3 linked regions of the Astyanax mexicanus genome follow. The protein of the gene in region 2 interacts with the protein of the main gene of each other region in a biochemical or structural test. Links are inferred from orthologs where the notes say so. Each region holds a gene or a part of one and is shown on either strand. Other genes may lie near its edges.

Evidence for each region.
Region 1: the proteins of disks large homolog 4 (region 2) and net1 interact in a biophysical measurement, tested with the Homo sapiens proteins (2 studies listed by IntAct, with this or other methods). The link is inferred for Astyanax mexicanus from reciprocal best matches to the Homo sapiens genes DLG4 and NET1.
Region 3: the proteins of disks large homolog 4 (region 2) and rps6ka1 interact in a test that uses a peptide from one of them, tested with the Homo sapiens proteins (2 studies listed by BioGRID and IntAct). The link is inferred for Astyanax mexicanus from reciprocal best matches to the Homo sapiens genes DLG4 and RPS6KA1.

What each region holds. Positions count from the first base shown.
Region 1 is NC_064409.1:8,468,675-8,479,206, forward strand, and holds the start of net1 (neuroepithelial cell-transforming gene 1 protein), read left to right. Parts: upstream 1-5,401; 5' UTR 5,402-5,518; coding exon 5,519-5,655; intron 5,656-10,532. UniProt on the Homo sapiens protein: Acts as a guanine nucleotide exchange factor (GEF) for RhoA GTPase. May be involved in activation of the SAPK/JNK pathway Stimulates genotoxic stress-induced RHOB activity in breast cancer cells leading to their cell death.
Region 2 is NC_064408.1:2,143,265-2,153,389, reverse strand, and holds the start of disks large homolog 4, read right to left. Parts: upstream 4,888-10,125; 5' UTR 4,804-4,887; coding exon 4,561-4,803; intron 1-4,560. UniProt on the Homo sapiens protein: Postsynaptic scaffolding protein that plays a critical role in synaptogenesis and synaptic plasticity by providing a platform for the postsynaptic clustering of crucial synaptic proteins.
Region 3 is NC_064421.1:34,847,698-34,857,735, forward strand, and holds the start of rps6ka1 (ribosomal protein S6 kinase alpha-1), read right to left. Parts: upstream 5,132-10,038; 5' UTR 4,945-5,131; coding exon 4,729-4,944; intron 1,108-4,728; coding exon 991-1,107; intron 1-990. UniProt on the Homo sapiens protein: Serine/threonine-protein kinase that acts downstream of ERK (MAPK1/ERK2 and MAPK3/ERK1) signaling and mediates mitogenic and stress-induced activation of the transcription factors CREB1, ETV1/ER81 and NR4A1/NUR77, regulates translation through RPS6 and EIF4B phosphorylation, and mediates cellular proliferation, survival, and differentiation by modulating mTOR signaling and repressing pro-apoptotic function of BAD and DAPK1.

The DNA.
Region 1 (10,532 bases), on a different chromosome or scaffold from region 2:
TACCCTTTGGACCCTGTATATAATCACCCTCTTATTAATTACTGTCAAATTAAACATTTATATAGGCCCTAAAACAGAGCCCAGTGGGATGCTACAAAATATGCTGTGATTTCCAGTTAGCTCCAAAGCTGCAGAATTCATACATGAACCCCTAACCTCTGAAGCATCCCAGTGGATGATGAGTTATCTTACAACTTTAGGTTCTTCCTAATTGTTTTGTCCTTGTGTTCTTGGGGAGATTTTCCACTGTCATCGACTGCTTGCTCCCCAGGGCTCTGGACCTGGATTTCTGTAAAATCTGAATCTGGGACAGAAACTGTAGCAAGTCTACCCCCAACCTTTCTTTGAAAGATTTGCCCTAAAAAGTTCAGTTTCAACCATAACTTATTTTAAACCCATTTTCCTTCACACTTACTGTTCACACATTGCTAGTCTTGTCAATTAGGGGAACAGATGTGTTAAATTAGGGTCTGTAGTAAATTTGGAGAATGCAGGGGGAGTACATCTTCAGGAACGAGACTGGGAGCCATTGGTTTCTGTAGCTTAATTAGGCTGGCTCCTGGACACACAACAGCACTGCACACAAAAATGTTTTAAGCACACCAAAATGTTTCTTTAATGAAGGCAAAGGTGAAGAATCTGTCTAATCTAAGAATCTAAATTATTTTCTTTTTATTGGAATGAAATTCAGCTCATTTGAACAAACCCTTTGTTTTGTGTTACTAATCTGACCATTTTTTCAGTAATTCAGTAACTGGAATTCATTACTTCCAGTAATTAGATTAAAATTGCTTATCAAAGTCACTGAGTGTTTTCTTTTCTTAGTAAAATGATATTGTAGCGTCCGGATGGACATGTTGAAAGGATGTACGAGAAAGACGGGGTGGGGTGTTGTCAGCAGCTGCTGAAAGTAACTTCAAAATCAAGTAATTAAGTTACATTTTAAAAGGAGTTATCAGTAATCAGATTACCTTTTTCAAAGTGCTGTTGTTCACAAAAGCCAGATTAAGTTTAAACCTAGAAAAAAAAGAATAAAAAAACTAAAATACTGCTTCGTATTTAGAGTATTATGTGATTTTTAAATTCAATTAGTAAAGTACCTCTTTTCAATGTTGCTATAAACTAGATGAAATGAAGCAATGGCGCCCTCTGCTGTCTGTAAAAATACATACCATTCATTTATATATGAGTATTTTTGTAATAGATAATAGACTCTTGGGTGTTGTGAAATCCTGGTATGCAGAAACAAAAGATAAAGGGAAAAAAAATATTTATGGTCTAGTTATTGCAAATACATTGAAAAGTTATGACGGCCAAAAACAATGATGTGTATATTAAACAATGTTTTAAAAGGGAAAGTCCAGTGACTAAAAATGTGAAAAAAAAAACTAAATCTAGTCATTCTGAATGGTTTGATGGGAAATGTGTCATTCTAGACAAATACTGAGTCATAACTGTTCGTGTGTGTGTGTGTGTGTGTGTGTGTGTGTGTGATGTGTTATAAGAACTCAAAAGAAAGATAATACACTAAATCATCAATAAAGCTTTGCCCTCATACACATTTAAAACACATATATGGTAAAGTGGTACATTAGAGGCATTTAAACATTAAAGGCTCATTGTACATAATAAATAAAACTCCTAATAGTAAATCAGTTGCATTGGAGACATAATAACCCCTGGTTTTTATTACCACCGCTGTAAGGAAATCATATTTTTACATCAAACTTTGAAACTTACATTAGCACATTAAGTGTGGACATACAAACAGTCAAGGAATTTCTAATGAATATAATAGTAAAATTTAATATATTGTATAACTACCCTGTAAAATTAATTATTAAAAATGACAATTTAGTCAGATCTAGAAGAAGCATGGAGAAGCATGGTTCTAAAAAACAATAACAGCTAATTCTGGCCCTCTTTAAGAACTAACATGGATCGTCACGACTTAAGATTTGCTTGATAGAAAAAAACTGAACATACAAGTTGTTCTGTCCGTGTTACTGTTCAAACAGCTCCATTCAAAAGCCCATCTGTGGAGCTGCGACATTATGAAATACTCACCTCATAAAGTCTGACTGTTCGCTGTGTTTATAAAGACCTTAAACACTGCTCTGTTTAATAAAACATTATTATTTTTATTGTATTTAATAATTTTTTGCAGAGTAGTTTAAATTATGTTATATCATGCTGTTGAAGCCTCATAATTGAACACATGCCTGCTATTTATAATGTAACTACCTGTCCTTACACTACATATTTCTATATACATATGCACACATGTTCTGCTCCTACTGCCACTGTAATCAAAAGCAGCTAAATCATTTCACTACTCAAAGTCAGACATTATTAAATTCATCAGAAAACATTTTGTTATAAAGCATATATTTATTGTGTTGGGATTCAAAACGACCTTATTCATTTAAATGAATTGAGACCTAATTAACACATAAAAATGATGATGCTAATCAGCACTGCATTAATGCATAATTATACAATGCCTCTTCAGAACAAGCCTACTGCCAGTCATTAGCACAGCTTAACATCTTCTAAACATCCACTCCAGCAAAGAGCTCATCTACTGAAGGACACCAGTGGCCTGGGCAGCAGGTGTGCATGACCGTGACATTTAAATCTACAGAAATGTTTGTTAGGGCAATATTTTGTGTAACTTTATATATAATGTGGGTGTTTACATGCCTTCAATTATCTAAATATAATCAGATTTCTGAAGTTATATTTATAAAGTTATTTTTTTTTGCTAAATGTAGTTACAAAAACAGTATAAACTTAGACTGTTTTTTTTTCAATATTACTGCCCATAGGGTGTATGTAAAGATGCCAAAATGGACTGTTCAAGTCCAGCAAATTTATGATTTTAAAGCACAGTTATAAAAGCCTCAACATAATTTTAATATATTATAATGGTTTACACCATTTTTTCTTTTTCCACTTTTTGTGTTTCTTTTATTATTAATATTTTTATTATACTATGTAAAAATTAGTTTTAGCTGTTTTTTCTTGTATTAATCTTATCTTCTTTTGGTCTTAATTTCTTTTCAATTAAAACAAATTTCTATATTTGATTTATTGTTATTTTAAAATAAATAAATCCTTTTTTTTGTCATGTTAATACAAAAACTTGACTACATTAAAAATTAGGGTTGCCCTTAATGTACTTCAAGTCAACCCTGCAGGCACATAGAAGTATTAGAGGTTATCCTTACGTAAAAAAAAATGTTGTGTCTGATGTCATGACATTCAACCTGAAATTAACTTCTATTGATGTTGGTGCCAGATGGGAAAATAAAGGTTGATTGATTGACTGATTGATTGTACAGCTGATTCTTCAATTCTGGGCTCACTTTACAACAATACCTCTACAGTGTGGCTGTGACTAATAAACTGTAGTGGGTGGAGAACATGAAGCCTGTTGGAGTGGTGTCTGTCTATTGTAATTGTGGCTGAGAATATTTGTTTTATGCGAGCCTTTGTTGTGCTGATGAACATTCAGACACTGAATAGTCTGTTTGCGCTGGGCTCCAGCTCACGTGGGCGTTTAACAGAATCAAGCTGCCTGCCAAATGAGCTGAAAGCCGAAAGCAGCTGAATGTGAGATGCGCTGAGCAGAGAGGTTAACTGGTTGGGCAGGTGGCAGGTGGCTTGGGATTCTGAAGCTAAAGAACATCAGTTAGGTTATATTACAAAACCACTGTAATTACCCATAAGGGCTGGAGAAGAAAGAGTGGCGTGTGTGAATATTACTCTAGGCATGGTCTGATTGACTGAAAACACTGTGTGGAATGTGATGCCTTGCTCAGAACAAATTAACAGAGATCTGATAAATGGTTAAAGAGGATGTTTGGCCCAATATGCATGATCACATCCTCTGGGACTCTTCACTTTATCCTTCTTAACCAGGCATGAGAAGCTGGAGAAGCTGTGGGGTTTATTTGCCAACTCTTTCTCTTACCCAGCAGAAGAACTCACAGTATTAGCTCTGTTCTCACACTCATACACCATACTTGCTATTTATCACACATTTTAATGATCCCTCTTTCCCTTAAAAACACCTCTGGATGAATCTGACTGCTGCTAGTTTCTACATCTGCCTCTCTGAAGCCAATCCAGCTTTTATATCAACAATAAACATAAAACGAAATAAAATAACATTGCTGTTCCTGGAAATTACCTGTGGGCGCACCTTCAAAGCATGAATGTGCAGGCCAGTAATCCTCTGCTGAGATGCGCAAAGCACTGCACTGTTAAGATACCAACGTGCCAAAGTCAGAGCACACCTGCCTCTGGCAAGTGAAACGGTGATTGGTTTGTTTCACATTACACCCAAAACACATCTATGATTAAGTCATAACCTTTATAACTCACACATTTAGGACATTTGAAGTCACAGCTCGGAAAAAGAATATAAGTGTCCATAAATTTACAATAAATAGTAAAATAAATAGACAAGCAGTATAAGACAGAAGAGGACATCATAAATATTGGCATGGAAACCATAGTAAATATAAAATATTGCAGCAAAGTTATACATTATACATCATATGTATTGCATATTAGAGGTGAATAATTAATTCTGGTATGTAGATGTATAAGTAAGTGTAAGTAGTTAAATTCAAGGGTAATTGAGAGATAAGTCAGGACACATAAGCCTAATATGTGTGATAATTAGCCTGCATTAAAAGAACGTTTTTTTTGTCCTAAATGATCGTAATACCTCCTAAAACTATTAAAGTGTTCACCAGAATATGCTGCCTTCAAGTCATCATCGAAAATTCGTACTTACATAAGACGAATATGACTCGCATTAGTTGAGTGATTTTTTTTATCCCATTAGAACCGTAAATAATATTAGACTTTTACACTTATTTTTCATGTATTGCTAGTGATTTTATTAGTTAGCTTATAACAAACTGCAAGTGTTAAGCGGTTTACATTACGAACTGTCTGCATCAATTTATTTAATGTATTTATTAATTTAAATAAATGTAATTAATTTATTTATCTCTTGTTACTGACACGCCCCCAACTGGGAAACTCCGGCCTGGTCTAAAAATATGTGTTTCCCACTGGTAAATACGAGTTTGTGGTGGCGTTCATGTGCTCTTATCTTGTAAATACGAGATATAAAAATATTTTCGACACAGCTTGAAGGTAGCATAACAAAAACGAAGCAAGTGTTAACGCATGCGCAGAGTACCGTTGGTCTGAAACTGCTGCTTTAAATCCGCTGCTCTGCAGACAGAGAAGACGCCCGCGTGACTCCGCCCATTCCAGCCCGTATCGTAGCAACCCTGGCCCTATCTTCTTCCCTATTGGTCAGAATTCAAGGTTCCGCCATATTCAAACCTTTTCGGTGTCCGTTTGAATACATTCCCTTCCCCCCGCTTTCATTCACTAATATTACTCCCATATCCGTTTATAATAATTCGGTTAGTTTACATTTCAGCTCCGGCTTTGTTTACAGCGCACCGCATTTTTAGGTCTGTTATTTTCAATGGAGGACATAGATGAGCCACAGACTGCGCCGCCCGCTGCTGCAAATAAGAGGCCGAAGAGGAAAGCGAGTCTGCGGAGAAAGTCTGTTGTGGCGGACGCGGAGCCCGAGTCCCCCGGGAGCAGCGACCGGAGACGGTGAGGGGACAGGGCAGCCAGCCGCTCAGCCAGCAGGCTCCTCTTAGTTAACTAACAAAATATGACTTCTTTATTCTTTATGTGCAGAATTCTAGTTACGTAGCTAGCTGTGTTTTGAAGTTAGCTCGCTAACTAGCTAACACATGAGCTAGGCTATCTAAGTAACTTAGCTGCTGGCTAACTGGTACATAAATCAACCATATTCGACAGCTGTTTTAGCAACTTGGCTAACTAGCTTAGCTAGCTAACTTACTAGCCGTAGCCTGTTTATGTCTAGGCCTCGCTGTTCTCTCGCACACAAATTTAGACTTTCCTTCCTTATAAGCTTGGTTGAGACAATTAATTAGTTAGCTATCTAACTAACTAACAATAATAAACTATCCAGCAGGTAGCTAGATATAGTGTTGGGTTAGATGGTAACTTTTTGTAGTTCGCTACTTCATTATCTACATTTAAAAAACACTAGCTGTTAGTGTATACACATTGATTAGACATAACATTAGAAACACCTGCCCAGTATTGTGTATTTACGTTACCTCTTGTGCCGAGAAAACGTTATGTTTTAGCATAGCCTCTAAATGAGCTCTAAACCTGTCCCATGATATATGGCACCAATTTGTTAGCAGCAGATCCTTAAAGTCCTGTGCTTACTGCATGAAAGGTGCCACTATAACAACATCACCAGTTTTATTCACTTAATGATTTGCACTAAGATACTGCATTTTTTATTTTTGTAATAAAACTACTACTACTATTACTACTGTTTTTTGTAAATGTGCAATTGCGTAAATATGCAATTGCGGAAGTTAGATATTCTGTTTGTGATCAGCAGTAAATATTCCCTCAACACTGTAATGTGATTGATTACACTTTTACATACTTGTTTACAAGCTAGTGCAGCGTAAGAATCTGCTCATTAAACTCTGCTACTTAACCAGCCATTAGAATGTTAAAGTAAGTTTGTGCTTGTAACGGAAACACTGTACATTTTGCAAGTCATACAGGATTTTCATTTTAAATACTGATATTTTCATGTTCTGTAGTTCTTCTGTTCCCCCACACGGTGGAGCTCAATTCACACTGATTAGAATACATCATTAATGAGCCTGTGCTTCAGAGGCAGCTGTAAGTTGGTCCTGTCTGTAAAGATAACACACTGACATAACCGTCTTGCTTATAAATATTTCCCAAATTACAGAAAGAGTGCAGCTTGATTAAAGGAAATATGGTTAGTGAGAATTTGCTATGTTTCTCTAATCTTTCTGAAACAAATGTAATGATGCTCTCTGTAATATGGCAATATGGCAAGAGTTCATGTCCAAAACTTATCCAAACATGGTAACTTCTCTTTTTAGCCAGATTTCTCCAGTAAGTCCTGTGAAAGAGCAGGAATAGCATGAAGAAAAGCTGTTCTCTTAAGTTCTAAGATAAGTAGGGAAGAGTTTACATTGGCAAAGCTGCTGGTTTCCTCTTTCGTGTTGGTTGGGTGCTTTCAGTACCTCCTGCCAATCCCCACACAACCTTTGACTTCCCAAATGTCAGCAGAGCTACAGTCTGAACAGTTAAAGTTCCAGATAAAACTGAAAAAGAGGTTATAAATGTGTATTGATTATGATTTTTGGTGATGTATAGAACCATTTAAAATGAACACTGGTTTGCTTGTTTTGAACTGATACCAACATTTTTTTTCCTTTTGGTCAGACCGAATTTTGAGCCTGGGCCATCACTCACAGCACCGGTTACACCTGGTTCAAAGATCTGTACCTAACTGGGATGTAGGCAGCTAAATCAGTACAGTGGTAAAGAGCTAGAACGGTTTAAGCATCCAAATAGATTGTGTAAGATTGTGTAATTGAATTGAGCATGCTAAAAAATACTTGTATACGTGTATTGTGGTGCAGTCAGAGTGGATAATTCTTGTGATTTTTAACATGAATTCTTTTGTGCTCTCATTTAGCTCACCAGACCTCTTGAGTTCTAACTATACATTTCTTTGATTTAATGATGCATGAATGAGCAGATAAAGGCTGTGACGGTGACATATCCAATGTAGGCAAAATATCTACTATTGGATTAAATATATGTACAAATTTACTATTTCATTTTTTTATATTGCAATGTATATCATAGAACAACAAAATATTTTTCAAGAAATGTTTTTTTTCCAATATCATGCAGCCCTAATTGAAAGCCCTAAATGTCCCTTACTTTTAGGTAAGATTTATCCCATGCCTGTGTTGTAGGGCTGCAATGGTTAGTCAATATGATCGACAATGTCGATTATGTAAATTTGTCGACTAATTGTTAATTTGTATGGGAGATGGGTAAAAGGCTCACTCACACAGTTTACACTCTTATTACACACTTATTCTGTGTCTCCAAAAGTGCCCAAACACAACAGATTACATATTTAATAACTAAATATTAGTACTTTCCACAACATTTAGACATTAAATGCCTTTTAAATCTCTTGTTCTACTGTTCTCCCTACCGTTTTTAGAGATGGGGACATGGCAGAAATAATCATTGACTGATCGAAAAAATAATCATCAGATTAGTCGACTATCAAAATAATAATTAGTTGCAGCCCTACTCTGTTGACTGGTCAATATCTCTGAATATTAGCTGCAATAAGGATTCATTTTGCATGAAAATGTATAACACTTATAAGAATACATGCTCTCTACCTTACTTAACATTAATTATGTGAAGAATAATCATTCTCTTAAACAATGAGTTATTTCCAGTGTAGATTTGACATAGGATGCAGTACTGAAGTTTTGATTTCAAATTACTAGAAAGGTGTAAATTTTTCAGCAAGGCACCTCCATGCTCTCCTAATGATTTCCCCGCTGTAATGTGTGTGTCTGGATGGCAGGTTCTTTGGAATCACTCATAACAAGACGTGCTCTCTACACACCCTTATGGTGGTATTGTGTAATCTACCCCACTAGTATGTCTATGATATCAGCAGAAGCTACTTGTGTTTTAACTATGCTCTTGCGCACACAAGAAAAGGCTATTCGGTCATTTTGTTAGCTATCGTTAGTCATTTAGGGATAGTCTCAGTTATCCTTAGTCATTATTACATTTCACATAAATATCAATTGTTAGATTGAAGGGGTTTGTGTACTCTCAGCTACCGGTACTTTAAGGTTCCCGGATTGCTGACACAGATCTGGAAATAAACATACAATATTGTTTTCCAGTATAGAAGTACTGCCAATAGAATATGACTCTTTTGAAGCAGATATACATCCATTTATTTTCACCATGCCTAATACCAGGCATGGATTATAAATGCCTTGTAAGACATGTTATTGCAACCGGAAACACAATTAACTACAAAGTGTAAGTGCAGTTGGTAAAATCTTATCAGATACAATCCAGACACAGGTCACATTTAAGTGACCAGGTGTTAACAAAATCTTAATCCTACAGTGTTAGATGGATGGGCATATTTTAAGAGAGAGAAAGGGGTAGCTCAGCTAAGTGGAATCTAATAATGTGTCTCAGAAGAGCTATGTTGCCTTCAACAGGTTTGTTTAGAGGTGGAATATTGATATATTGTAGGATTGTGATAATACATTTAGCAATACTGTATAGATTCTCAAAAATAGTGTTAATTTTCAATGGTTTACTTGCAAAAATAGGGAGAAGAGTGTGATTTGATTTTGTGTTGTTTAACCCCTTAAACACTGTTTAGTAAAGTGTAGTAAATTGATTAGCTTCCAAATAATTAATTACAAAAATTATTACCCTAGAGTTAAGAAGTTAAACCCCTGTCTGGGTTTGATGGCAGTGTTTAAAATCAGTCTTTAGATCCAACTGTTCTGTGTGTATACAGAGTTAGTCTTACGTTTTACTCACAGTTTTATAAATATGATTTTTGCTTTTAAAAATCTCTGTATATCACAATACTTACAGTACTGCGATATATCGTAAAATGTGTATCCTGATACTATCTTATTGCCAGTTTCTGCCCAAAAACATAGCCCTAATTTAACTCTGCTTGAGGGGTGTAAAGCCCCTCAACACTGAGCTGGAATGATTGTGTTCTGTAAGTACTTTTGGGATGAGTTCGGGTGAACATCCTGACCTCACTAACACTTTTTTTATTACTGAATGCTATCAAATCCTCACAGCGGACAGTGGTGCACCAGGATCTGTTAGAAAAAGACAGGATATCAGCAGGATAAGAACTGTTGTCCCAGTTCTTTTGTCCATAATGTATATTTACAGTACACTAAATTACCGACAGTACATTTCTTTATTGTGTTTTAATTATATTTCTAATACTGAATGTCCTAGCCTGTGTTCTAGGTCTATAGACTTAATAAATGCTCTTCTGTTGTCTTTAAACATACATGGTGTAATTGCAACCCCTCGGGTGGTTCATAGACAGTGATGTCAAACTTATACCTTATTGGTATCTTCTACAGGAAACGTTTCCACACTTTGATTCTTTCATCATACTATTTCTCTGAGGGCGTTCATTTTAATGGAGAATGCAAAATAGAGGTATGGTTGGCAGTAAACTTCGTCACACAGGTTTTTTTTAATGAGCATGGTTCACACTTCATGCTCTTTGGATTCTTTTGTCATCTGTAACTCTGGAGTGTGTTGGATGTGTCCCTTGGCTGTTACGTGGTTGTGGGCAAGTGGGATCTATTGTAAACACCTGAATGTGAGTGTGTGTGTCCTGGAATACTTACAGGGACCATGCCGATCATACCAGCCCCAGCGCATTGTAAAGCTTCCTGAGAAGACTGCAGTGTTTTCTCATAAGCTTTAGTCCTAGCCACCGCCCACACCTTCACCCACGAGCAGTTTGCGCTCATCCAGTGTTTTCTTTGATCAGACCTCAGAATGCTGTT
Region 2 (10,125 bases):
GAAGAGAGAAAAATGAGATGTAAAATGGGCGGAGCTTCACAGGAGTTCGACCAATGGGAGGCTTCGATACTGAGAGACATTTTCCTGCAGCACCAACTTCATAAAACTGCAGCTCCACAACCTACAGCCCAGAATGACTTAGCAAAAATCACACACACACACACACACACACACACACACACACTCACACTCTCATACAAACACACTCACACTCTCACACACACACACACACACACACACACACACACACACACACACTCTCACACACACACACACACACACACACTCTCACACACACACTCACACACACACACACACTCACTCTTAAAGAGCTGTTGAATCAGCGTAAGGTCGTTCAGGGCCAGTTTAATAACAGACTCATCTTCAGTTCCCCCACGAACATCACTATCATCACTATCATCACTATTATCACTATCATCACTATTATCATCACTATCATCACTATTATCACTATCATCACTATCATCACTATTATCACTATCATCACTATTATCATCACTATCATCACTATTATCACTATCATCACTATCATCACCATCATCATCACTATTATCACTATCATCATAATCATCACTATTATCACTATCATCACTATCATCACTATTATCACTATCATCACTATCATCATTATTATCACTATCATCACTATTATCACTATCATCACTATTATCACTATCATCACTATTATCACTATCATCATAAGCATCACTATTATCACTATCATCACTATCATCACTATTATCACTATTATCACTATTATCACTATCATCACTATCATCACTATTATCACTATTATCACTATCATCACTATTATCATCACTATCATCACTATTATCACTATCATCACTATTATCACTATCATCACTATTATCTCTATCATCACTATCATCACTATTATCACTATCATCACTATTATCACTATCGTCACTATTATCTCTATCATCACTATCATCACTATTATCACTATTATCACTATCATCACTATTATCATCACTATCATCACTATTATCACTATCATCACTATTATCACTATCATTACTATTATCATCATCATCATTTTTTCAGTGATATTATCTGCACACACACACACACACACACACACAGTATATACCCAGTATGTGTATATTTACAGAAATATATCAGATCAAATGTATAAATATATATTTTATGCTTTATTACACAATAAAAATATATAACATTAGAACTAATATTATAAAATAAAGGTAAATAGATAAGTATAGTAATAACTCTAGTATAGATTAGACTAATAGACTAACTCCATTCACTTCCATTCATTCTGTACCTGTTTAAATTACTACTGCTGTAAACTGCATTTTCTGTCTGTCTCTCCATCTGTCTATCTGTCCCTCTCTCCATTTATCTATCGGTCTATCTGTCCCCTCTGTTTGTGTCTCTCTATCTGTTTATCTGTCCCTCTCTTCATTTTTCTCTCTCTCTCTTTTTGTCTGTTTCTTCAACTGTCTACTCCTATCTGACTTTTTCTCTACCTGTCTGTCTTTCTGTGTCTATCTGTCTTTCCATTTCTCCATCCCTTTCTTTCTATCCAGCCCTTTCTGCAACCATCTGTCTTTTTATCTGTCTGCCACGCTGTCTATCTATCTGTCTGTCTTTCTCCAATCATCTGTCCCTCTGTCTGTCTTATTACCATATTTCAGTCTGTCTCGTTCTCCATCTGTCTGACCATTTGTTTCTTTTTCATTTTGTCTTTTCTATTCTCCAGCTATGTTTTGTCCATTTCTCGATCTGTCTCTCTATCTGTCTTTTTATCTGCCTACCACTCCATCTATCCCTCTATCCCTATTCCCTATCTGTCTGTATCTTTTTCCAGTCGTTTATTCTCTGTCTCTTTTATCACCATCCATCTGTCTTTCAGTCTGTTTCATTCTACATCTGTCTGACAGTTTGTTTCTTTCTCATTTTGTCTTTTCCATTTTACAGCTATCTGTCCCTTTTTCCCATCTGTCTCTCTATGTCTGTCCATTGTCCATTGGTCTGTCTCTCTCTCTGCCACTTCATCTATCCCTCTATCCCTATCTGCCTGTCTTTCTCTAATCGTCTATCCCTCTGTCTGTCTTATCACCACTGTCATTCTCCATTTGTCTGACAGTTTGTTTCTTTCTCATTTTGTCTTTTTCATTCTCCAGCTATCTGTCTCTTTTTCCATTTGTCCATCTCTCTGTCCAGCCCTTTCGTCAAACATCTGTCATTTTATGTCTGCCACTCCATCTTTCTATTTGTCCCACCTGTCCCTATTCCTTATCTGTCTGTTTTTCTCCAATCATCTATCTCTCTGTCTGTCTAATCAGCATCTGTCTGTCTCTCAGTCTGTCTTTTTCTCCATCTGTCTGACACTTTGTTTCCTTCTAACAGTGTCTTTTATATTCTGCAGCTATCTGTCTCTTTTTCCATCTGTCTCTCTCTCTATCTGTCTGTCTCTATTTTCTAGCCCTTTGGGCACCCATCTGTCTTTCTGACAGTTTGTTTATTTCTCATTTTGTATTTTCCACTCTCCAGCTATCTGTCCCTTTCCAGTTGTCTTTCTACATCTGTCTGTCCATTTCTTTATCTGTCTCTCTCTCCTTATCTAGCCCTTTCAGCAACCATCTGCGTTTTTATCTGTCTGACACCTCATCTATCCCTCTATCCCACCTGTCCCTATTTCCTATCTTTCTCCAAACGTCTATCCCTCTGTCTGTCTTATCACCATCTGTATGTCTCTCAATCTGTCTCATTCTCCATCTGTCTGACAGTTAGTTTCTTTTTCATTTTGTATTTTCCATTCTGCAGCTATATGTCTCTATTTCCATCTGTCTCTTTCTCCAGCTGTCTCTCTTTGTATGTACATTTCTCCATCTGTCTCTCTCTCCACTTTTCTGTAAGTTTTTTTTTCTCATTTAGTATTTTAGATTCTCCATATACATGTCCCTCTTTACAGTTGTCTGTCTCTATCTGTCTGTCCCTTTCTCCATCTGTCTTTTTATCTGTCTGTCATTCCATCTATCCCTATATCCTACTTATTCTCCAATCGTTTATCTCTCTGTATGTCTTATCTCCACCTGTCTGTCTCTCAGTCTGTCTCATTCTCCATCTTTCTGTCAGTTTGTTTCTTTCTCATTTTGTCGTTTCCATTCTCCAGCTATCGGTCCCTATTTCCTTTCTCTATCGGTCTGTCCATTTCTTAATCAGTTTTGTCTCTCTTTCTATCCTTTTCTTTTGTCTGTTACATCCTTTTTTATGTTGTCTGTCTCTTTTCCACGTCTCTGTCTTTTTCTCCATGTTGCAATATGTCTCCTTTTTCCAATATGTCTCTTTTCTCATCTCTCTGTTCCTTTCTCCATATGTCTCTTTTTCCATGTCTCTTTCCCTTTCTACATATGTCTCTTACATTCTCTCTCTGTCTCTCCATTTCTCCTTGTCTCTGTCTGTCCCTTTGTCCACCTGCTCCTCCATATTTCTGTCCTTATCTCCTTTATTTCATACATCTGTCAAGATTGTCTATATCTGTTTGTTTCTTTATACATCTGTCTCTCTGTCCATCTTTTCTTTTCAGTTTGTCTGTCCTTACCTGCACCTGTCTCTCTGTCTCTCTCTCTGTGTCTCTCTGTCTCTGTGTGTGTTGTGAACAGTGTTCTGCAGTAATCAGAGAGATAATGAATATTATATACGCACATTAGTGATGCTGCTTCATCACAAACACCCAGACAGAGAGAGAGAGAGAGAGAGAGAGAGTGAGACAGAGACAGAGAGAGAGAGAGAGAGTGAGACAGAGAGAGAGAGAGACAGAGAGAGAGATAAAGGCTGGTTAGATAGGTAGTCTGGTTTGGATGCCTACTGACCAATTTGATATATGGCAATTTCCATTGCATTATATTTCTCTCTCTCTCTCTCTCTCTCTCTCTCTCTCTCTTTCTCTCTCTCTCTCTCTTTCTCTCTCTCTCTCTCGCTCTCTCTGCTCACTCAGCTAATTTACTCTAAGACATGCAATACATGTATCTCTCTCAAACACACACACACACACACACCTGTTCCTACACTTATGCATATTCAACAGGTTTACAAAGTTACCCAATTATACTAATACCAACACACACACACACACTCACACACACACACACACACACTCACACAAACACACACACACTCACACAAACACACACACACACACACACACAGTGACGATGCACACTGCAGATGTTTTCATACCCCGTCATAAAAAAAATAGTGAAAACGTGACTGTGCATCACACACACACACACACACAGACACACACACTATACACACACACTTACACACTTACACTCACACTCAGACACACACTGTCTGCATTCCCACACAACGCCAACAGCACGTCTGAACCTCTGCCGTAAACAACCCAAAAACCTGCAGCACAGAGAGACAGAGAGAGAGAAAGAGAGAGGGATGGAGGGATGGAGGAATAGAGGGATGTAGGTATAGAGGGATGGAGGCATAGACGGATGGATGGATGGAGATCCCCGCGGAAGAAAGGCGGATACGTACCACGCAGGAGCAGAGTGAAGGCAGTTTAGTACGACCCTTCATCAGATACACACGCACACACACAGCGGCCGAGCGAGAGAGAGAGAGAGAGGAGGAGGAGAGGAGAGAGGGATGAGGACAGAGAGAGAAAGAGAGAGAGGCTGGGAGAGAGAAAGGAGGGAGGGGGGGACTGTACTGAGGGGGAAAATGAAATAAAAAAAGAAATGGGGAAGAGAGAGAGACAGAGAGAGGAGGGGGCGTCATAAACTAAAGAGAGAGAAAGAGAGAGAAAGAGGGTAAAGATTGATGGAGAGATGTAAGGATAGTTTAGAGGAAGAGAGAGAAAAGGTAGAGAGAGATAGATAAAGAGAGACAGAGCAAGAAGAATAGGGAGAAAGGTAGAGAGATAGAGAAAGAGAGAAACAGCGAGAGAAGAAGAAAATGGATAGAGAGAGAGATAGAGAGAGAGAGAGTGATAGAGGGATAGATGGGGAAGGCACTAATGAGAGCAGAGAGAAAATCCTGGCAGAGGAAACGATGAGTGAGTCACAGAATATGTTTATGAAAGAGAGAGAGAGAGAGATAGAGAGAGAAAGAAAGAAAGAAAGAAAGAAAGAAAGAAAGAAAGAAAGAAAGAAGTGGAGAGAGCATGGACAAGTAGAGGTAGAAACAGGATAGGAAGAGAGATATAAATATATATAGAGAGAATGACAATAAAAGAGAATTGGCAAAGTGAGAGAATAAAAAATAGTAAAAAGGGAGAGAGAAAATGAAAATAAATGAAAAGAAAATATAAGGAATGTGAAAAATGGAGAGAAAAAGAAAAATAGATAAGAAAAGTGAGAATTAGAGAAAAAAGAGAAAGAGAAAGTCGAGAGAGAGAGCAGTGAGACAGTAAAAGTGTAGAGAGAGATAGATAGAGAAACAAGGGAGAGATAAAACGTTCATGGAGAGAGAGAATGCTGGAAAAGAGGAAAGGGATAGAGAGAGATAGAAATAATGAGGAAAGAAGTTGGAATAAGAGAGAGAAAGGAAATGAACGAGAAAAAAGTAAGAGAAATAGCAAAAGAGAAAAGGATAGAGTGAAACTGAGAAAGAAACGAGAGACAGAAAGAGGAATGAAAAAAGAGTAAAAAAAATAATGAGAAAAAAGAGAAAGAAGAGAGAATGAGAAAAAGGAGAAGAGAAAGAGATTGAAAACTGAGAGTGAGGAAAGAAAAAAGTAGATATAATATATAAAGAGATAGAGAGACAGTAAGAAACAGAGAGAAAATGAAAGGATGAGAGATATAGAAATTAATGTGATAGAGAGAGAAAAAAGAGTAAAAAAAATCAAGAATGGAGAGATGAAAAAATAGAGAAAAGAGAGAGAAAGAATAAGAGGAAATGAATGTGATAGACAGAGATGTAGAGAGAAAGAGAGAGAGAGAGCGAGAGAGAGAAAGAGAGAGATAGAATAAGAGGAAATGAATGTGATAGAGAGAGATGTAGAGAGAAAGAGAGAGAGAGAGAGAGAGAGAGAGAGAGAGAGAGAGAGAGAGAGGTCTTTGCCTGTGCTATTTTCGGAAATTTACGATTTTCTTTTTTTTGTTATTTTCTTCACGCTCGCATAGCTGTTTATACCCACACACTCACCCCACCTCTCCCTCTCTCCCTCTCTCTATCTCTCTCTATCTCCCTCCCTCTCTGTCTCTCTGTCTCTCTATCTCTTTCTTTCTCTCTCTCTCTCTCTCTCTCTCTGTATTTGAATTCATATTCATACTCTGTGACCGTGTCTCTTTCATCCAATCAGAGCTCAGGAGGAAGAGGAAGAGAATTAGAAAGATAGAGAGATAGAAAAAGATAGAGAGATAGAAAGAGAGAGAGATAAAGAAATAGAAATAGAAAGAGAGAGAGAGATAATTTTATTTTCTCTACTAAATTGATGAATGGATTCTGTAAACAGTATTTAATGTTAAAATGTGTGAGTGTGTGTGTGTGTTGTGTGTGTGTGTAGTGTGTGTGTGTGTGTGTGTGTGTGTGTGTGTGTAGTGTGTGTGTGTGTGTGTGTTGGTAGGGGTGATAATTAGTGAGTATCTCAGTAAACAGACTCGACACTATTAAAACAACATCAGTAAACAATTTAAACCCAATTACCAGAATAAACATGCAGATCTAAACCAGTACAGAATGCATGCTGTACTAGTGTGACATAACTGAGTCATACCAGTATGATGTCATAACTACTATTGTTACATCATCCTGCTGTAGAGTAAATACATGGAACATACTGAAAATAATGCTACAAATATATTGTTAAATAACAGTAAGCTAGGACAGTAGCATTATGATGTAACAAGTGTGTAACCTTACACTGACATGATGTAATAACAGGTGAGTAACCTTTTATTGCTATGATATAACAACAGGTTTGTAACCCTACATTGCTATGATGTAACAGCAGGTGTGTAACCTTTTATTGCTATGATGTAACAACAAGTGTGTAACCTTACACTGCTATGATGTAATAACAGGTGTGTAACCTTACACTGCTATGATGTAATAACAAGTGTATAACCTTACACTGCCATAATGTAACAACATGTGTGTAACCTTACATTGCTATGATAACAACAGATGTGTAACCATACACTGCTATGATGTAACAACAGGTGTGTAACCTTACACTGCTATGATGTAACAACAGGTGTGTAACCTTACACTGCTATGATGTAACAACATGTGTGTGTAACTTTACACTGCTATGGTGTAACAACTTTGTTACTCTATACCGCTATGATGTAACAGTAGCTGTGTTACTCTATGCCACTTGATGTAACAGCAGCTGTGTTACTCTATACTGCTATAATGTAACAGCAGCTGTGTTACTCTATACTGCTATAATGTAACAGCAGCTGTGTTACTCTATACCGCTATGATGTAACAGCAGCTGTGTTACTCTTTGCTGCTATAATGTAACAGCAGCTGTGTTACTCTATACTGCTATGATGTAACAGCAGCTGTGGCACTCTATGCCGCTATGATGTAACAACAGCTGCGTTACTATATACTGCTATGATGTAACAGCAGCTGTGTTACTCTATGATGCTATAATTTAACAGCAGCTGTGTTATTCTATGCTGTTATGATGTAACAGCAGCTGTTTTACTCTATGCCGCTTTGATGTAACAGCAGCTGTGTTACTCTATGCTGCTATGATGTAACAGCAGCTGTGTTACTCTATGCTGTATGATGTAACAATAGCTGTGTTACCTCATGCTGCTATGATGTAACAGTAGCTGTGTTACTCTATGCTGCTATGATGTAACAGTAGCTGTGTTACTCTATGCTGCTATGATGTAACAGTAGCTGTGTTACTCTATGCCGCTATGATGTAACAGCAGCTGTGTTACTATATGCTGCTATGATGTAACAGCAGCTGTGTTACTCTATGCCGCTATGATGTAACAGCAGCTGTTACTTTATGCTGCTATGATGTAACAACAGCTGTTACTCTATGCCGCTATGATGTAACAGCAGCTGTGTTACTCTATGCTGCTATGCTGTAACAGCAGCTGTGTTACTCTATGCTGCTATAATTTAACAGCAGCTGTGTTACTCTATGCTGTTATAATGTAACAGCAGCTGTGTTACTCTATGCCGCTATGATGTCACAGCAGCTGTGTTATTCTATGCTGCTATGATGTATCAGAAGCTGTGTTACTCTATACCGCTATGATGTAACAGCAGCTGTGTTATTCTATGCTGCTATGATGTATCAGCAGCTGTGTAAATTTATGCTGCTATCATGTAACATCAGCTGTGTTACTCTATACTGTATGATGTAACAATAGCTGTGTTACCTCATGCTGCTATGATGTAACAGTAGCTGTGTTACTCTATGCTGCTATGATGTAACAGTAGCTGTGTTACTCTATGCTGCTATGATGTAACAGTAGCTGTGTTACTCTATGCCGCTATGATGTAGCAGCAGCTGTGTTACTCTATGCTGCTATGATGTAACAGCAGCTGTGTTACTCTATACCACTATGATGTAACAGCAGCTGTGTTACTCTATACTGCTATAATGTAACAGCAGCTGTGTTACTCTATGCCGCTATGATGTAACAGTAGCTGTGTTACTATATACCGCTATGATGTAACAGCAGCTGTGTTACTCTATACTGCTATACTGTAACAGCAGCTGTTACTCTATACTGCTATGATGTAACAGCAGCTGTGGCACTCTATGCCGCTATGATGTATCAACAGCTGCGTTACTATATGCTGCTATGATGTAACAGCAGCTGTGTTACTCTATGCTGCTATGATGTAACAGCAGCTGTGTTACTCTATGCTGCTATGATGTAACAGCAGCTGTTACTCTATGCCGCTATGATGTAACAGCAGCTGTGTTACTCTATGCTGCTATGATGTAACAGCAGCTGTGTTACTCTATGCTGCTATAATTTAACAGCAGCTGAGTTACTCTATGCTGTTATGGTGTAACAGCAGCTGTGTTACTCTATGCCGCTATGATGTAACAGCAGCTGTGTTACTCTATACCGCTATGATGTAACAGCAGCTGTGGTTCTCTATGCTGCTATGATGTATCAGCAGCTGTGTTACTCTATACCGCTATGATGTAACAGCAGCTGTGGTTCTCTATGCTGCTATGATGTATCAGCAGCTTTGTTACTCTATACCGCTATGATGTAACAGCAGCTGTGTTATTCTATGCTGCCATGATGTATCAGCAGCTGTGTAAATCTATGCTGCTATCATGTAACAGCAGCTGTGTTACTCTATGCCGCTATGATGTAACAGCAGCTGTGTTACTCTATGCTGCTATGATGTAACAGCAGCTGTGTTACTCTCTTCTGCTATGATGTAACAGTAGCTGTGTTACTCTATGCTGCTATGAGGTAACAGCAGCTGTGTTATTCTGTGCTGCTATGATGTAACAGTAGCTGTGTTACTCTATGCTGCTATGATGTAACAGTAGCTGTGTTACTCTATGCTGCTATGATGTAACTGTAGCTGTGTTACGCTATGCTGCTATGATGCAACAGCAGCTGTGTTACTCTGTGCTGCTATGATGTAACAGTAGCTGTGTTACTCTATGCTGCTATGATGTAACTGTAGCTGTGTTACGCTATGCTGCTATGATGCAACAGCAGCTGTGTTAGTCTGTGCTGCTATGATGTAACAACAGCTGCGTAACTATATGCTGCTATGATGTAACAGCAGCTGTGTTACTCTATGCCGCTATGATGTAACAGCAGCTGTTACTTTATGCTGTGTTAGTCTGTGCTGCTATGATGTAATGACAGCTGTCACAGTTTTATATTAGTAAAACTTCCTGTCTGCTTTCATCCATAAAACATGTTTTATAGCCTCCATCTCTCCATCCATCTCTCTCTATACCTGCACCTACTTCTGAATCCTTTCATCCATCCCTTCATCTCTCTCTCTCTTTCATTTCTCCTTCCATCTCTGTTTCCTCCATGATACCCTGCCACATCGTCATGGCAACAATCAGGCCCCCATTGGCTCGGTTGCTAAGCAACTCGCATCACCCGTAAGAGGAACGCGAAGATAAAAAGT
Region 3 (10,038 bases), on a different chromosome or scaffold from region 2:
AGGTTTATTCTTAGAAAAAATAGGAAAATATATAAATAAAAATGTGTAAATATTTTACACAAATACATAAAATAAAACATTATTTAAATAAAGTTGGCAAAGCAGATCAATTACGTTAACATTAATTGGATAGGCTTAAAAACTTTATTTGTATAATATTTATTATTTTTAAACACAGTGCTGGAGTGTAGATCAGGTAGGTGGCTTTGGGTCCACGGAAGCTCTGGATGACTGAGTATGGTAGGGTAAATAACTGACTGACTGACCACATGTTTTCAATGAGAACAGGGCATGTGGAGTCAGACGATGTGCACTTAAAGCACTGAGGTTTGGTCTGACTTGCATTTGAACAGAAGTTACAGATATCAGGGTATCGCCTGATTAAATGATATGAAAGACTACAGCATCAGTAAAACTATATTGTTTGTGTATGTGTCTGTATGTGTGTGTGTGTGTGTGTGTTGCCTGCTACAGTGGCTAAAAACAATATCCGCTAAAGTACAGGCATGTGTATGTAATGGGCAATATCGAATGGAGTAAAACCCATTGAAATAATGTTTATTTATAATACAATAAGTCAATAGGGTAATTATAGCGACAGGCCTAGGTAATCATCATCATATTGTTTTATTTTAAGGTCATGATAAAGATTACGGTTAGGAATGATTTATGATTAGAACAGAAATCAGAAAATAATTTTAACTACACAAATTCACATCATGTCCAGAAATCTAATTTCTGACCTGACAGTCAAATAAAAAAAAATTGACCAGTCTGAAAACCCTGCCCATAATTTGTGATGTACTGAGTTTATAATGGTGCTCAGTGCACCATGGCTGATGACTGCATCGAGATTTTAAGAGGATGGCCATGGGGATGGGTTTTGCATATTAAGCATTAGGAGGTTATAATTAAAACTGTTTAGAGAATGTTTAGTATAATATAGAAATGTGTGTGTGTGTGTGTGTGTGTGTGTGTGTGTTTTCATACCTTGCCGAAAGACCCCTGGCCCAACACCTTGAGCAACTCGAACTGGGATGGGTCTGCTTTCTCCGCCCCCTCTTTAACCACATGTGTGATGTTAATCTCTTTGATGACATCATCATCCTGCAAAAGGACACATTTTTGGTTAGGTTTTATAAAGGAAGCTTTATTTTAATAACTCAACATTATTTTGGAAACAAATAAAAATTTAATAAAACCTAGACACAGGATTTAAAATAAAACAATAAGGAACAAAGTAAATTACAATATCAAAAGTCAAGGACATAATAGGGATAAACATAAAAATTAAGAGAACAGTAAGAGAGAGGCCAGAATTTTAAACAGAATAAACTCCAAAATAAAAATGAAAGGACAGTTTAAAGCCCAAATTTAAAATGTAAAATATAATAAAGTCCTTATCTCTAGTTTCCCCCCAAAAAAAACAAACAAAAAAAACCCTACTGCATCACTTCATGGCTTCATTGTGTCCAGATTAACATCACAATTTCCATGATCTAATTCATGGAACCAGCATCATAGGTTCTTATTCACATTAACAGCATATCAGCCTGGAAACCCCCATTATCACCAGTCAGATTATCAGCTGCAGTCTGCGGTTTGGAGCTGTGTGACACCAGAAGCACCTCCCGCTTCTTAAGACCAGACCAAAAGCATGCAAGAAGAGAATAGTGACAGTGTTTGTTAGCAATATTAGCCTAGCATCTCCCATTGTGGACCAAATAAGTCTGGTCAACTGGTATTAGATTGTTTAACCTGTTCCTTTAGGTGAAATGAAGCACAGGTGCTTGGTGGGAAATGGGAGTATAAAATATAAACATGTGCATATTTAGGGCTTTTTTTACACCTGAACGTGTGGACCAGTATGCGAATCACAGTCTGTATGCATCGTTTACATTAGGTCCAGATAGTTTTGATTTCACACTGCAGTTCAGCAACAAACTGAAGAACTGCGCGCTGTGTTCAGTTATCTTCACCTGTGTGTGCTGACACTGATTGGTTTGTAGAAGGGCATGTTGTGTTAACAATGTAATAAGTTGTCTTTCCAGTTATTGTGCTAAATTCTGCCTCGCTACAAAAATCCTCTGAGTGCATGTGCATCATTCAGCAGAGAATTCCGCTGGATAGTCTTTATTAATACACCCATTAGAGCTCTGAGAAACATATAATATAATATAACAAATAACATATAATAAATGAGATCAGATGCGGTGACACACACACACACACACACACACACACACAGGAACCAGCAGAGGAACTCCACCTCGCAGCACAGTTACGGGAAACGAGCCTACTTCACCATTTAAACCACAGTGTCAAATAACTCAAAATAATCTCGCTGTACAGAGGGATTTAAATACACACTACTTTACTATCACCAGCACAGGCTGTCTATCAGAACCCCGGCTCTACAGCTACGATTACTGGCCACTTTATTTCAAATGCCAGCCTTACATTTACCCTTATTGGCCACTGACTTGGAAACCCAGCATTACAGTTGCCCTTAATAGCCACTGGAATACCCAGCTTTACAGATGCACTTACTGGACAAATTAACTGTAAATCTTGCACCACACTGTATTGAAAACCCCAGCCTTACTGGTACATTTCAAACAAGTCAAACAAGACCAATTTAAATATCTTAACACAATAAGGGTTGGGCAATATCACTTTTTTTTTGTGAAAACATTACTGTGGTATATGCTATTATATGGGACAGGAATTTGCAGGAACTGCTTAAAGTCCTATGTTTACATGGCTGCAAAATAATTAAATGTTGGGTTATTTTTTTAACAGAAAATTTATTAAATACAACATTCAGGCTGTTTACTTATAAACGTTTAGACAAAAAATAACAGGACAACAGGACAGTTATCTAAATAAATAGTGACAGGCTAACCGCTAATAGGCTAACTGCTAACATGCTAGCCCCTTACAGGCTTGCTGCTAACACCTTTGCCCCAGGCTAACTACTAACAGGCTAGCTTACGCTACTGTCTGTGCAACAGTTTTCCAGATAAATAAGGCAAATGAGGAAGTCACACATATTTTGAATCTTGAATATATATGATAAAGCTTTAAACCGTCACACATTCGAGTGAGACTTTTAAGGGATATCTTGCAGACTCCTGTATGCAGGTTTAGTTTACCTTTGCAAATCTCTGAGACAACTTTTTGTATCCTTCCCCTGAACAACTATGTTGAACAATCTTTGTTTTTAGATCATTTGATGTTTTGTTTTGATGAGCCCATGATGCCACTCTTCAGAGGAGATTCAAATAGGAGAACAACTTGCAATTGGCCACCTTAAATACCTTTTCTCATGATTGGATACACCTGGCTATGAAGTTCAAAGCTCAATGAGGTTACCAAACCAATTTTGTGCTTCAGTAAGTCAGTAAAAAGTAGTTAGGAGTATTCAAATCAATAAAATGATAAGGGTGCCCATACTTTTGCACCGGTCAAATTTTGGTTTAATGCATATTGCACATTTTCTGTTAGTACAATAAAACTCATTTCAATCCTGAAATATTACTGTGTCCATCAGTTATTAGATATATCAAACTGAAATGGCTGTTGCAAACACCCAAATATTTAGAACTAAGATTAATAGGGGTGCCCAAACTTTTTCATATGACTGTATAAATTATTCCAGGGCTTACTCCATATGAAGCCTCAGCTTGGTTTTGCAGAGCACCAGCTTGAAGTTGTTCCTAACGCATAGACACCTTCTGACCACTGCCGCAGGGCCAATTTCTTACAGGTTCTGCCAATCAGGTGCCAGTCAGGCAGAAATGGCACCAGAAACTTAAAAAAAGTGTTTTTACAGGAAAAAACACAAAACTTTGTGCTATGTTTAGTTTGACCAAAAAAAAAAAGTGAGTCCTACCAAGGTTTGTTCCTCCAGCTCTGAGGATTTTTTTTTAACACTATTACCTCGACTTGGTCACCTGCGTTGTTTTGTGTTATGTTTTGTTGATTTTTTTCATATTATTGCATTATTGGTTAATATTGCTAATGAGTTTGACTGCACTGAACCTTTACTTGCCACTTACCGCTACCCATATACAAACACAGGCAGCCATAGAGAAAACAGAGTGAGAGCAGCCAAGTCACGCCAAACAAAGTGTGTTTTCCTTCTAATTGTGCTGATATCACATTAAAATTAACCACCTCCACTTAGTTACACTTTGAGTCGAGTGTTTGACACCTTTTAAAAGACGTAAACACCCACAGATCACATCCTCATCACATCTCAGTACTGCTCCTCCTCTCACATCGAAACTAACAGCTGCCCTGACCCAGTCCTAATCACACAACACTACAGGCTGAACCCATCTAAGACCAGGTATCAGAACCAGTCCAATACCAGCAAGACACCACTAAACTATTAGACCAGTGTAAGACAATATTTTTAAATATAGTCATTGATCTTTTTTTATTACAGTAACAGTGTACAAAACTTCCTCTACCATGTTTGGAAGGTGCGAGTTTTTTTTTTCTACGCTGACATGCCAAAAGTAATGGGACAGCAGGTGTTGCCTCACATAAAATTAATTTCTACCATCTATACCATAAGGTTCTTCTTTTTAATCTTTATTAAACCAGGTTGTTTATGGAACCAAATTGGTTCTTCTATGGCATCCCTTAAAGAAGCACTAACTCTTAAGAGAGTGTAGACTTATGTAATAGTGTCTGTGTGCGTGCATGTTGTGTACTGACCATCCACTGCCTCTGTTCGCATGTTGAAGCGGTGCTGGATGCAGTTAATGATGCGGTGGCAGCTGTGCTGCTATTGGCCTCCACCAGTGGACAGAAGTTAGAGCCATTAGGGTCGTTAGCGCCGTTAGTCAGCGCTTTCCGCTGTTGTCTTTTAAACAGGTAGAGTGTGAGCACCTGCCTCAGCTTAAACTTCCCTCTCTCTTTCTCTCTCTCCATCTCTTCATCTCTCCACCAGTCCGGGGTTCCCACAGTCACCTCCTCTATCTGCCTCCTGCTATGGTTAATCTGACGGACCTCGGCATCTCTCTCTCACAACACTAACTGACTACCGCTCGCCCAGCTTCACACAACTCACACTACAACTCGTACTGCTGCAGCGCGAGAGCGAGTGTGAGAGCCTGAACGAGGGATGTGAAATGTAGTTAGACAGGAAGGAAGAGGTTGAAGGGGAGGGAGAGAGAGAGATAGAGAAACTTACTGAACTGAAAGAAACATACAGGAGATGGAGAAAGAAAGAAAGTAAGAGAAAATGCTAAAAAATAAGCTAGATATGTAGAGACAGAGAGAGAGAAAGAAAGAGAGAGAGAGAAAGAGAGAGAGAAAGAGAGAGAGAGAGAGAGATGATGGTGATTGACAGAGAAAAAAGAAATAGGCCAGAGTTAGTGATGGTAGAGAAAGTGAGATAGAGATGAAGGGGAAGGGTAAAGTGGTAGAGAGGGTAAAGACAAAGGTAGAGAGAGTGAGGGTGATTGTAAAAGAGAGTATTAACGTTTGTGGTTGACCGTTGACCGATGGAGGTTTTCACTCTTTTCAGTCATTTAAGGTTACATTTAATCTGCCATCTTCTACCTATTTTGTGTATTTGCATATAAGATCAGCACTCAAAGCATATATGGGCCCAAGGGGCTCTCAAATAGCAACTCATCCAATGGTGAAATAGATACAACCTCATTTACCTTTAAGAGGATGTGTTGCTAGGATTTATCACAAGCCTCTACAAACCCCCTTTCTATTACCACCTTAGGTTAAAATTCAAATGTACTATTACTGCCATAAATGTAACACCTTTGCTTCTCGTATGTTCTGGGTATGTCCTGTAATTATACAATTTTGGAGATATGTGAACACAGTGTTGTCTGATATTCTTAAAACAGAATACAATTGGGATCCATGCTTTTGTCTCCTGAATGATAACTCCAACTTGGAGTTGAAGATGATACAGTGCAAGCTATTGTTCTCTGGATTTACTGCTGCTAAAGAGACAATTCTACAAAACTGGATTACACCTGGCCTTTACATGGAATCATTTTGGGTGTTTAATCTACTGAATATAGCAAAACTTGAATGTACCATAACTCGACTTCACCATGCTAAGCCCTGTTAAAACATGACAGACTTTTGTGCTGAATATTTTGGATTTTCTTGGAAAGTATGCTTTGAATACGGACACTTTCTCCTATTTATCTCTATCTGTGAAGATTGTGCCCATAGATATTTGTCACTCATGCTCCTTTTTATTTTGCATTCACTCTTTCTGCCCGTCTGCTGCTCCCCATACAAATCCTTAATCACAAAAAAGAAAAAGAGTAAGATGTAAAAAAGAAAGAGAATAAAGATAGAAAGAACAAATAATTACACATAGTAATGAAGAGAGAGAGTGAGAGAGAGAGTGAGAGAGAGAGAAAGTGAGATGATGGTGATTGAAGTAGAAAAAAGAAAAAGACTGAGGAGTTATGGTAGAGAAAGTGAGAAAGAGATGGAGGAGAAGGGTAAAGTGATAAAGAGGGTAAAGACAGAGGTAGAGACAGTGAGGGTGATTGTAAAAGAAAGAGAGAAAAAGAGTAAGGTGAGAAAGAGAGAGAGAAAGTGAGAGAGAGAGAGAGAGAGAGAGAGAGAGAGAGAGAGAGAGAGAGAGAGAGAGAGAGAGAGAGAGAGAGATTAAAAGTTTAGGGTAGAGTGAACAAGAGAAAGTGAGACTTAATGCTACAGCAGTGCTGTACACTAGAGGGCACCATTTCTCTGTGTATAATAATTAGAGGCTGTGTTACAATTCAACCAGTTCCCTTAAAAGGGTTTTCACAGAATGCTCCCCCCAAAAAATATACAAAAAAACCCAGTTTTTGTTATTGCAGTCCGGAAGCAGGAGTTGTATCACTATGTAGAAGTATAGACACACTTAAAATCCTTTTATTTTCCCAAAAATCGTGAGTGCATCTTATAGACCGTTTCAGAGGAATATTCATGAGCGTAGGAAGTGACGTAGCTGTTCCTAGGACACTTCCGTTTAGCCGTAAAGAGCGTTCAAAACAGTGGACGTAACTTTAACATAATTTAACATGAATGCAAACTTCACCTAATCTGAGAGTCATAAACATTGAAAATCAGGTCAAATTGTTCTTTAAACAAGTAAACTATGGAGGACCAAAAATGACATAAGTATAAATAAACACACATAGAAATGTATAAATATATAAATACATAAATGAATAAATAAATTAATGTTGAAATTAATAAATATATATGTAAATGCACATATAAATGAATAAATAAAAAAATATATGAATAAATAAATAAATACATGCACAAATAATTGTATAGGTAAATAAATTAATAAATACATTTCTTATTTATATATTTATTTATTCATTTATATGTGCATTTATTTATGTCAACATTTATTTATTTATTCATTTATTTATTTAAACATTTATTTATTTATACTTCTGTCATTTTTGGTCCTCCATAGTAAACACGCCTGCTTTCATTTTTCACACTGCGAACCTGCCATGCAGTTACAGTGTCCGCTCACAACTTCTCCCTCTTTCTTATCAATAAATAATGCAGAGTACGTGTTGGACAGCGTTTGACTTGCTCCACCTCACCATACACTATAGTGATGCTTCTCTACTATAGGAACTCATATTCCCAACTTCCACTGAGAAAGTAATTATATGCGCTCAAACTGCGGTACGCTTTCACTGCGTTTCAACAAGATAGTGATCACATCTGGGTAGGTCACATCTGGCAAGCGTTTTAAATCAGACAGCTGTCAGTGTTGGGCACGTTACTTTGAAAAAGTAATTAGTTATAGTTACTAGTTACTTCTCCAAAAAAGTAACTGAGTTACTAACGGAGTTACTCCACTATAAAAGTAACTAGTTACCAGTAAAAGTAACTATTGCGTTACTTTCCCAGTAAAAAAATGAACAAAAGAAAATTAATTATGTAATTACTATTATTATTAGAAAAATAGCAAACGAAAATAAACCCAAAAATGTTGACAAAAATATAATCTAACAAATTAAAAAAAGATAAGAAACGAAATACTCCACATGACCAAAGAAAATTACTAAGACTTGCAATACTGAAAAAAAAAAAAACGGAAAAACCAAATAGCATCTGGGGATAAAAATTAAACAAACCAAACCACACTCTAAAACCACTCCGCTGAAATTCAGTGTTAAACAGAATTTTCAGTTTAGTTGCCCAGCATTAGAATTAGCATCAGCTACTAACCGCCCTAAGTGCTAGCTTGTTGGCCGACCAGAGGTGAGTGTTACTGGCCTGTAGCTTGCTGCTAACCCACGCTAGCACTGCAGAAGCAGAATTAACATTATCCACTTACCACAGCATTAGATTAAAGGTGAGTATATCTGACTGTAAACTGCATGTTTACAGTGTTAAAACAAGCTACGTGGGACGATAGCTAATATCGCACTTACCGGAACACTCAGGGTTCTGTCGGGCGGCATTAGCAGCTAATCACTAGCGGTTAGCGGCTAATGCTAATGCTCCAGTCCTTAGTGCTGTAAAAATGTGGATATCTAAGCTTACTGTAAATAAGCACAAGCTTTACTAACACAAATAAACAGTTTTCAGGAAATTAACATCCAGCACGGACTTATGACTGAATTTTTTTTATTATTATATATTTTTTTTTAGAATAGTTTTGTTTACTTAGCTTAGCTTTACAGGTCTCACCACGCAGCAGACAGACCTGTTGAATTTAAAGGTAAACATGGCGACACCCTTATTCCTTACTAGTGTCACAAAATGTGCCTTATTATCCAGTGCGGTTTATGTATGAAAATAGATATTTATTGATAGTGCGCCTCATAATCTGGTACGCCTTATAGTGTGAAAATTTGGTAGTATCTTCAAAAAGCGTGTAGCAGCAGGTTAGTAGCTGAAATTCGTAGCTCAGTTACAGCAGAAAAGACAGAGTCTAAGCTGAAAGCTCCAGGTGAGTTCTTACCTGTCGAATGTTGGAGAAGTCTTTCTCCACCCACGTGATCTCTGACTGCTTCTGTTCAATGTAGGAGGAGAATGATTATGACTATGTATTAGTTAGTATCCACTATGACTGATTTATATTATATACTACAAATTATTTAGTGATTACAGTATCCAGTGCAAATCATTTGGCATCCACTGATAATGTATTCATTATTTACAATGAATAATTTAGAAACAAATATGAATCATTCAGTATCCACTATGAATTAAATATGCTAAAGTTTTATCAGTATGTATTATGAATTTTAAAATATCAACATTACTATTAATATTAATATATTAATATTACTATTAATATTAATATAACTATTAATATCACTATGGATTATGTAGTGTCTTTTATTTACAAGTTCCTGTCTTAACTCCTACAGCTAAAAAATATGAAGTCACTATGATGCCACAAACACACACGCACGCATACACACACACAACTCACCATTACTGCATAACTTTGTTTCCCACTTTTCAAAGCTCATAAACAGCTACTCGTTCTACTAAAACAATCACCAACTACCCTTAAACACACACACACACACACACACACACACACACACACATAGAGACACGAGCACACACACGCACAGTCCAGCCTAATCATGTAAAAATGACTCAAGTGAAATTTCCTCTGTTCCTTCTGCTATTTCAACACAGCAGCTTCAGATCAACAACGACATGCACTCTCCGCTCTTACACCATCGAGTTTAGCTCCAGAGGGGGGGAGAGGACTCAGTCACAGATACTCTTACTGCACTACTTTAGTAGTATATCAGAATCCAGTGCTTGCCAGAATTGTACAATTACTAGGCCTGGACCAAAACTTGATTATCACTAATCATTTTCATTTAATTGTTAAAAGTCTGGGCCTTAACTTAGTTTCGAATGCTACCAAACCTTGTTCATGACTTTGAAAACTATAAGGACTAACCATCGACTTAACCTCAAATACTACAAAACATGCCTTGACTCGGATTAATCAAATACAATGTCTCTGCCTTTACCAAGACTTAAACTTGA